2 linked regions of the Sus scrofa genome follow. The protein of the gene in region 2 binds, or shares a complex with, the protein of the main gene of each other region. Links are inferred from orthologs where the notes say so. Each region holds a gene or a part of one and is shown on either strand. Other genes may lie near its edges.

The links. Proteins that work in one complex are often made in the same cells at the same time.
Region 1: GEMIN5 (region 2) and GEMIN2 share a complex: the UniProt entries of both Homo sapiens proteins name them as parts of the SMN-Sm complex. The link is inferred for Sus scrofa from reciprocal best matches to the Homo sapiens genes GEMIN5 and GEMIN2.

The regions. Positions count from the first base shown.
Region 1 is NC_010443.5:169,681,994-169,686,690, reverse strand, and holds part of GEMIN2 (gem-associated protein 2), read right to left. Parts: intron 3,302-4,697; coding exon 3,185-3,301; intron 906-3,184; coding exon 861-905; intron 1-860. UniProt on the Homo sapiens protein: The SMN complex catalyzes the assembly of small nuclear ribonucleoproteins (snRNPs), the building blocks of the spliceosome, and thereby plays an important role in the splicing of cellular pre-mRNAs.
Region 2 is NC_010458.4:68,305,952-68,310,648, forward strand, and holds part of GEMIN5 (gem-associated protein 5), read left to right. Parts: intron 1-1,915; coding exon 1,916-2,143; intron 2,144-3,836; coding exon 3,837-3,950; intron 3,951-4,328; coding exon 4,329-4,454; intron 4,455-4,697. UniProt on the Homo sapiens protein: The SMN complex catalyzes the assembly of small nuclear ribonucleoproteins (snRNPs), the building blocks of the spliceosome, and thereby plays an important role in the splicing of cellular pre-mRNAs.

The sequences.
Region 1 (4,697 bases), on a different chromosome or scaffold from region 2:
TATCTTAATCTTAATGTAAGTGATATGTGAGTAAAACTGTCAGCCAGTTTTTGATTTACAACAGAGTATGATGCTTTTTTTTTTTTGGGTCACCCCAGGGCATATGGAGTTCCTGGGACAGGAATCAGATCCAAGCTACAGTTGCAACCCTCACTGCAGCTGTGGCAACTCGGGGTCCTTTAACCCACTGTGCTGGGCCAGGGATCAAACCTGTGTCCTGACGCTACACAGACACCCTGGATCCTGCTGTGCCACAGCAGGAACTCCAGATTTACAACAGAGTATGACTCTTAAAAAAAATTTATCTACATTGGTACTCTATGCTATGTGAATGCAAAACAATCAAAAGTTTTTATTTGCTCTTTAAATAGGTAACAGTTCCTGAAAGACTGAAGGACTGAAGTCCATTATTTCTCCCCTTTTGATCCAAGAAATTCAAATTTCATTCTTAGTGAAATGCGTAGGTCATCCAGAACTAGAAACACCTTTTTGATCTCAGTATTTATTTCAAACCCCAGAATCTAAGACTTATAACTAAAATGTATATATGTGAATAGTTTAGCACCATGATCAAGAGCATGAGTTCTAACATCAGATCAACCTGGGGCTGAGTCCCAATGTCACCATTAAAATTCACTGAAAAACCACCAAGTGACTTTAATTCTGTTTCCTCAGCTACAAAAAAATAGGTATTAATAATAATCCCCCATAAAGGGTTGTAGTGAGGATTAAATAAGAACTGTTACAAAGTCTAGAACTGGGTCTTACATACTGTAAATATTCAGCAAATTATTTAAATATTTTAACACACATTGCAAACAAAAGAACACTTAACATTCTTATTATCAGACAGACTTTACCTGATTCATTCTGCTAACAATGCTAAGCAAGGGAGGAAAACCAATCTGAAAGAAAAATTAAATTGAAATTTACTAAATAGTATTACAAGGAGGGGGCTTCATTTTTTTTTTTTTTTTTCCAAACTGGTGAATTTCTCAACACACTGTTATTAAAGAACAAAGACTAGATAAAAGAAAAATTTCTCCACTGTCCATTACAATAAAATATTCCATGAGCTATTATGTTGGTAATGCCCAAGAAAATAATGTCTTAACATTTGAACACGTAAATTAAAACCAAAGAACGATTTTAGTAATTAAGATGTTAAAACGTGAAACTGAAAAAAATGATACTATGACATTAATATGTTGTATACACTTTTTCAAAATCTTCAGCTAAAGTTATTATTTTCAGGAATTAAAGGCACTTGAATGAGTTTTTTCAAACCTAGTCTGCTTCAATTTAAGAAAGTGCTTTGGAATTTAATGCGGGAAGCCTGGATTATGAAAACAGTCCTGACTTGGTGCGAAACTTGAGGACATGCATTAAACTTTTATGTTCTTAAATTGTTCTTTCACATGATATGCTTTACTTGTATGTATTTTGGGTTTTGTTTTGTTTTCTTTTCTTTTTAGGGGTGCACCCGTGGCATATGGAAGCCTTCTAGGCTAGGGGTTGAATCGAAGATATAGCTGCCGGCCTACACCACAGCCACAGCAACGCGGGATCTGAACCATGTCTGCAACTTACACCACAGGTCGTGGCAACGCCGGACCATGGACCCACTGAGCAAGGCCAGAAACCGAACCTGCATCCTCATGGGTACTAGTCAGATTTGTTTCCAATGCTCCAAATGGGAACTCCCTCACCTGTATGTATTTGGTAATAACGAACTATATATATTTTAATTCTGTGTCAAATTAAAATATATTATGGATATTATCCCAAAGAACATAAGTTGTCTAAGAAACAGTGTCAAATTAGCTCCCTTAGAGATTTGAATCTGTCTACACTCCCACTACCATGTGTAAGAGTGCCTGTCTTCCTAGCCTTTGTTGACTCAGTGTATCAAATTTTCTTTACCAATATGTCATACCAGCTCAGTGCAATTATAAGTTAAATTTCTATCATAAGTGAGTCTGGGCATCTTCTCATGTAAGAACAATCTGTATTTCCTTCTTGTGAGATGTCCTTTATATTCTTTGCCTTTTTTTTTTTTTTTTTAATTTGGGTTCTTGGTGTTTTTCAGTGATTTTTGGAGCTTTACATTTTGGGGCTAAACTAATTTTACTTTATTTATTTATTTATTTTTTTAAAACTAATTTTAATAGGAAAAACACAATGTGGCACCACACAGAAAATGATAAATATCTATTCAACAGAACAACATAGTTTCAGGAGTTACTAGTAATGCAGATGAATACAGTGAGTTTCCTTGGAACATCTGCACACTTGAAGGCAAGCGAATGCTGAAGGCAAGCGAATGCTAAAGGACAAGAAGCAGATAGCTACATAATTTATGATTAAAATAAAAGTCACGTGAAATTGGAGTTCCCATTGTGGTGAAGTGGAAAAGAATCCAACTAGGAACCATGAGATTGTGGGTTTGATCCCTGGCCTCGCTCAGTGGGTTGAGGATCCAGCGTTACCATGAGCTGTGGTGTGGGTGGAAGACGTGGCTTGGATCCTGCATTGCTGTGGCTGTGGTGTAGGCCAGCAGCAGTAGCTCTGATTAGACCCATAGCCTGGGAACCTCCGTATGCCACGGGTGCAGCCCTAAAAAAAGCAAAAAAAATAAAATAAAGTCACGTGAAATTAAAATATACCCTCAACATTTAATCTCCAGAATATGAATTTATGAATAAACATTTTAAAGCACCTAACTTTGTTTCCTTGACTACTTATAACTCATTGTTTGACTCATGCCTAATGGTTTTTTAAAAAAAGAATCCTATCTGACAAAATTATTAAAAAGCTAAACCATAAGAGATATGAAGCTAACCTAAAAAGAGCCACAGTACATTGTTTTATAAATGAGGCTATCAATTTTTAAGTCAAAGAGCCAATGAACTAAGTTAGGGATTGGCAAGTAATTTCCGTAAAGAGCCAGACAGCAAATATTTTAGGTTTTGTAGACCATATACTGTCTAAGTCACATTATTATTAATTTTTTTTAACAACCCTTTAAAAATGTAAAAACTATAAAGTTTTTATGTTTAGCTCATGAGCTGGACAAGAACAGGTTGCAGATTGGATTTGGCCTAGACTGCAGTTTGCTGAGTCTTTACATGAAATCATGCACTGAAATTATAATTTTTCTTTGTGTAGCCACATTATCACCTACTTGTACATAATCAATTCCAGGACTTTCACTTGCAGCTGGTCCAACAGTAACTCCTTCAGCACATAACCTTTCACCGAGACAAAATTTTTTCCAGCCTTCTTCATCTTCAGATTTTGGCTAAAACAAAGAAAAAAGAAGAAGAATTTAGTTATTCCTATATAATTTTTAAAGAAAATACTCAACAGTGAAAAAAATAAGTGAGAATTCCTCTGTATCCCCACCACCTCAACACAAAGATATACTGCCTGTTACGAAAGAGTGAACTGTGTAGTCCTAAAAATCACGTGCTGCAGTCCTAACCCGCAGTACCTCAGAATGTGATTATTTGAAGTCTGGGCCTTTATAGCAGCAATTAAGTTAAAATGAGGTAGTTAGGGCAGGTCCTAATCCAAAATGACCTGCATCCATAAGAAGAGGAAATGTGGACAGAGAGCTATTACACATGTGTGTGCACACAGGAGACTATGTGAGGACAAAGCAAGAAGATGACCATCTGAAACCAAAGAGAGAGGCCTGAAGAGAAATGTACCGACACCCTGATCTCAGACTTTGATGGTCACACCAGCATTTAGTTTGGATTGTACTTTATTATTTACTTATTTTTTTATTTTATTTTTTTTAGGGCTGCATCTACAGCATATGGAAGTTCCCAGGCTAGGGGTCAAATCGGAGCTGAAGCTACAGGCCTACACCACAGTCACAGCAATGCAGGATATGAGCCACGAATGTGACAATGGCAGCTTGCAGCAATGTCAGATCCTTAACCCACTGAAGGAGGCCAGGGATCGAACCTGCATCCTTACGGACACTGTGTTGGGTTCTTGACCCACTGAGCCACAATGGGAACTCTATAGTTTGAATCATACTTTATGGACAGTGACAAACAAGAGTGTGTTCAAAAGAGGGTGATAAAGATAGGAGCTGATATGGGACACTAAGAATGCTTACAAGAATAAAGGATGAGAATCCCAGGGAAGGAGACATGATTACATATTCCACATACTTAAAGGGCTGTCCAATCAAATAAGAAATATTTATTCTACATTGTCAGACTGAAAAAAAGCAGGACCAATTAGGAGCTCTCTTGTGGCACAGTGGGTTAAGGATCCAGTGTTGTCTCTGCAGCAGTGCTGGTCACTGCTGTGGCATGAGTTCCTGGCTTAGGAACTTTTACATTCAGCCAGTGCAGCCAAAAGAGGGAGGGAGATCTGGCTTGGGTTGCTGCTGTGGCTAGGGATTCGATCCCTGGCCCAGGAACTTGCCATGAGTGGGGCTAACAGAAGAGGGGGAAAAAAAGCAGGACCATTTAGCTCAAGAATGCTCCCTTAACAGAACAATTTCTAAAACTTCTTTAAAAAGTATTTATTTTAGTTGATTTATAATACTGTGTTAGTTTCAAATATACAGCAAAGTGATTTTTGATCAGAACAATTTTTGCTGAGACACATCACCTTGCAAATTACTTTACATATATGTGCAGTTTTTCCCCCTGAGGATATATAGCTTTCATTAG
Region 2 (4,697 bases):
AAGTGCTCAAAGAACTGAGATGTAGCAAAAGAGCAAAGAAGCCAACCTGAAGGGGCTGCCTCCCCAAATCTGGGATGATTTGAGTTTGTAAATAATTAGCAGGAGAATTCCATTTCTGACCATAAAAGATTAACTGGTGCCAGATTTGCCCACCTACCAGACACAGCTAGAAAACTAGACATAGTATATAAGCAACTAGAAATGTATACAAAGAAATGATATCTCCACAAGGAGATTTTTTAAAAGAGTGCTCATAGCTTTATCTGTAAAATCGCCACAAACTGGAAACAACCCAAATGTACATCGGCTGGTAAATAATTGTGGTATATCTCTATAGTAGAACTCTGTTCAGGCATAATAAGAACGTAACTACTTATAAACACAACAAAATGGATGAATCTCAAAAAAAGAGTATGCTGAGCAAAAGAAGCCAGGCCCAAAAGACTAAATATTTTATAATTCTAATATAGAACATGCAATAGTTATATGTCATGTGAATTTCTAAAACAGACAAAACTAAATTTACAGTGATAGCATGTCAGTGACTGCCTGGAGTTCAGGGAACATTTTGAAATAATGTAAATATTGTATTTGTGGCATTAGGTTACCTGACTATTCGTTAGTCTAAACTCATAAAAGTATTAAAAAGTGCATATATTTTCTGGTATTAAATTATCTCGATAAAGACAACTTAAAAGCAAAAGGTAAAAACTTAAAAAAATAAATAGCAATGGGAGTTACCGTCATGGCGCAGTGGTTAACGAATCTAACTAGGAACCATGAGGTTGCGGATTCCATCCCTGCCCTTGCTCAGGGGGTTAACGATCCGGCGTTGCCGTGAGCTGTGGTGTAGGTTGCAGATGCGGCTTGGATCCCGCGTTGCTGTGGCTCTGGCGTAGGCCGGCGGCTACAGCTCTGATTCGACCCCTAGCCTGGGAACCTCCATATGCCACGGGAGCGGCCCAAGAAATAGCAAAAAAAAAAAGACAAATAAATAAATAAACAAATAAAATAGCAATATAGGATTAAAACATAAAATAGGAATCGATGAGTCCATAATGATAAAAATAAACAAATCGTTTAAATAAATAGAGAGGAGCAGAAGTTCTTTAGAGTTCAAAGCCAGCTAATAAATGTGGAGTGAATGATGGAGTAGAAGACTGCCATTTGGAATCATCACAGTAACAGTTTTTAGTCAAGAAACCTCAATGGGTACAACTTAATAACTACAAAGAGAAAATAATTTTTCAGGCAGGGAGAAACCTGCAAGATACCGCCCCTTAATCAAATAATGAGACAAAGAGTGATAAACGTAGCCTCACTTCTACGCACTATAGTTAAAAATGTATAATCTAAATCCAATCATGAAAAACACAGAGCAGACCCATTTTGAGGGAAATTCAACAAGGCCTATCCTGTAATCTTTAAGAGTTTCCAGTCCTGAAGGTCAAAGGAAATTGAGCCTGTTCCAGGCTGAAGGAAACTCAGACATAATAAGCCAATGCAACATGTTATCCTAGATTGATTCCTTTTACTGTTTGCCATAAAGGACATTCTTGATGCAGCTGGCAGAACGTGAGTGAGTGTAAAGAGCAGACAGCAGTAATGGATCACTGTTAATTTCCTGATTTTAATGGTCGTGCTGTGGTCATGTAGGAGTGTATTCTTGTTTGTAGGACATACACTGACGTGTTGAGGGCTAAATGGGCATCATGTTTATGATTTAATGAAATCTCAAAAGGGTTTGATGTAGTGCACATTTTGCTACTATAAGAATTCACTGGGAGGGAAGGGAAAGAGCAAGAATGTGATCAAAAAGAAGAGTAATAAGGTTTTGGAGATTATCACCTAGAGTGCTTTCAACCAAGAATATATGTATTTTAATCTATCCTTTACTTAACTGCATTTCCTACAGGCAAGAAAAGTATTGAATTAGAGAAAAAAAGGCTCTCTCAACCTAAGCCAAAGCCCAAAAAGAAGAAAAAGCCCACTTCAAGAGTGCCTACCAAGCAGGAATTCTGTGACAGGAATGAAGAAGAGAGCATAAAGGAGAGCTCAGGCCCTGTTGAGAACGGCGTGTCAGACCAGGAGACGGAGGAGGAAGTCCGGGAGCCAGAGCCACCCTGTGGTGACACCCCCACAGGTAGGTGGCAGAATCCCAAGTTTCACCAACTCTCTAGGACTTAAAGAGTCATGACCAAGAAACTAAGCCAGGTCCTTACTGGGAGTGAAACTTTTCTGCCTCTGAGCTACTTGCTTTCCCAACTCCTTAACTTAGTGTGTCTTTGGTGTCCTTAAAAACTAATTAAGGGTTTTTTTTAAGATTTATTTAAGCCTCTAAAATAATAACTTTGAAGTGTCAAAGGGGATATAATGGATGACTGCAATGGAAATAGTGAAGTTCTGCAGAGAAAACATATCACCTTGGGCAGGGTTAAACTGTGGGACAAAGTGAAGCTAGGGCAGTGTTCACGTAGAAACTTACGTGGGGAAAGTTTTAACAGTATGACATCATCAGCCACATTTATTGAAAGAAACCACTGTACCTGACCTAGAAACCACCACACTGGGAACTTGCAAGCAAGCAATATAAATAGGACTGACTCATGTTTAATTCTGAAACAAAATATTTTGATGTGTCAGAATTTTAAATGGCCAAAATCTAAGGGACAGGGACATCCCTGACTCTCTCTGTTCCCAGGGGTGGCTGTTAGGACCCAAAGTTTGGATAAATAAGGATGTAAAAGCTTAATAGATTTTGCTTTTGTTTCATTTTGTTTGTTTAAATTTACTGGAGTATAGTTGACTTACATTGTTGTGTTACTTTTAGGTGTAGAGCAAAGTGAATTGGCTATATATATATCTATCTCCATTTTTTTTTCCCATATGGGTTGTTACAAACTATTGAGTAGATTTCCCTGAGCTCTCCAGTAGGTTCCCGTTAACTACCTGTGCTCTACAGTAGTGTGTATATGTTACTTCCATCCTTCCAATTTCTCCCTCCTTCTCACAGTGTACCCTATGGTAACCATAAGATTGCTTTTGAAATCTGTGAGTCTCTGTTCTATACACACAAACTCCCTGCATCATTTTTTATTAGATTCCTCATATAAGTGATACCACATATTTGATTGACTTCTCTCAAAATGAGAATCTCTAGTTGCATCTATGTAGCCGCAAATGGCATTATTTCATTCTTTTTTATGGCTGAATAATATTCCATTGTATATATGTACCACATCTTTATCTACTTCTCTGTCAGTGGACATTTAGGTTGCTTAATGGATTTATTTTGTAGACCCATTAGAATACCTCTGTATCACAAAATGACTGCACAAAATGTCCTTTTACTCCTAACTATCAACAATTTGGTTGTTTTGTCAAGTTCTTTTATAGTTTGTGGTTGTATATACTCAGGATTATGACTCCATATCCCATACACTTTAGATTTCCATTGGTAAAGTTGTTCCTTGTTTGTGTAATTAAATATGCAATCAGTAATGTGTCACCTAAATATTTAAGTCTTCTGTCACCTAAGCTAAGTCTGAGAACTCTCGGGCCTATGGTATAAAGTTATGAAGGCTAGAATCATACAACTTTTCCTTAGATCAGTTAGTCAGAGTTCTAAGTAATAAAGTTGCAGATTCCCAGAATGTAGCTTGTGAGGTGGGGAAAGGAAGAAAACACCCATGTTTCCTTTCTGAAATATTTCATCTCATGTTTGGGGTAACAGACAAAAATCACACCTTAAAACCTGGGATAGCTCTTAATTTTCAAAAAGAACTGGATTCTATGTTGTTCTCATCCAGACATTTTTTCTTTTCCCTATGATGTAGTTTCTAAGGAACCAGTTACCTGCACTCCAGCTTCCTTAGGTTTAGAAAAGTCAAAAGTCACCATTAATAACAAAGTCGCTGTACTGAAAAAGGAGGCACCTAAAGAGAAGCCAGGTTAGTATCTAGTAATTAAAATTTCGTTAAAGCATCCTCAAATATTACATGTAACTGAAAACTCAAAAGTGTACAATTTTTGCTTTAGGTTTTAAATATTTGTGTTTTGATTATGTTTCGACTGGGGTCATTTTTTTGGTACTGAGGAACTCCTTTGGCAAATTACTGATGTAGCTTCACAACTGTTCACAGGAGTAGGTTTGTGTGTGTTGTGAACACTGCCCCCAGCTAATTCAATTTGAAAGCTTCTTTCTAAGAGTGGGAACTTTCTCTACCCTGCAGGATCCCTCCAGTAGGTTTACATTCACACAAAGGGCATGCTTTCAGTTTTGTGTTGTGATCAGCTCTTCTTCAGTCAGTACTTTTATTACATTTCAGAAGCCCTAATCATTAAGAAGCGAAAAGCTCGTTCCATGCTTCCACTGAGTACGAGTCTGGACCACAGATCCAAGGAAGAGCTTCATCAGGACTGTTTGGTACTAGCCACTGCAAAACACTCCAAAGGTACAAAAATACACTCCCCTGGCCCATCCATAGTCTTCTGGGACCTGGCACCGAAGAAGTGCTTGTTTATTTCTTGAATGAATGAATGAATGAATGAGCCATGTCCTAAACTGCTGTCTGTATTTCTGCAGTCTTTTCCAGCAATCTTTCCCCTTGTATCCCACTGCCAGGCTCCACACTCTGACCCACTGTCAACATTCCCCCATGCTTTTGAGACATAATGGTCTACTTTTCTGGTATAAA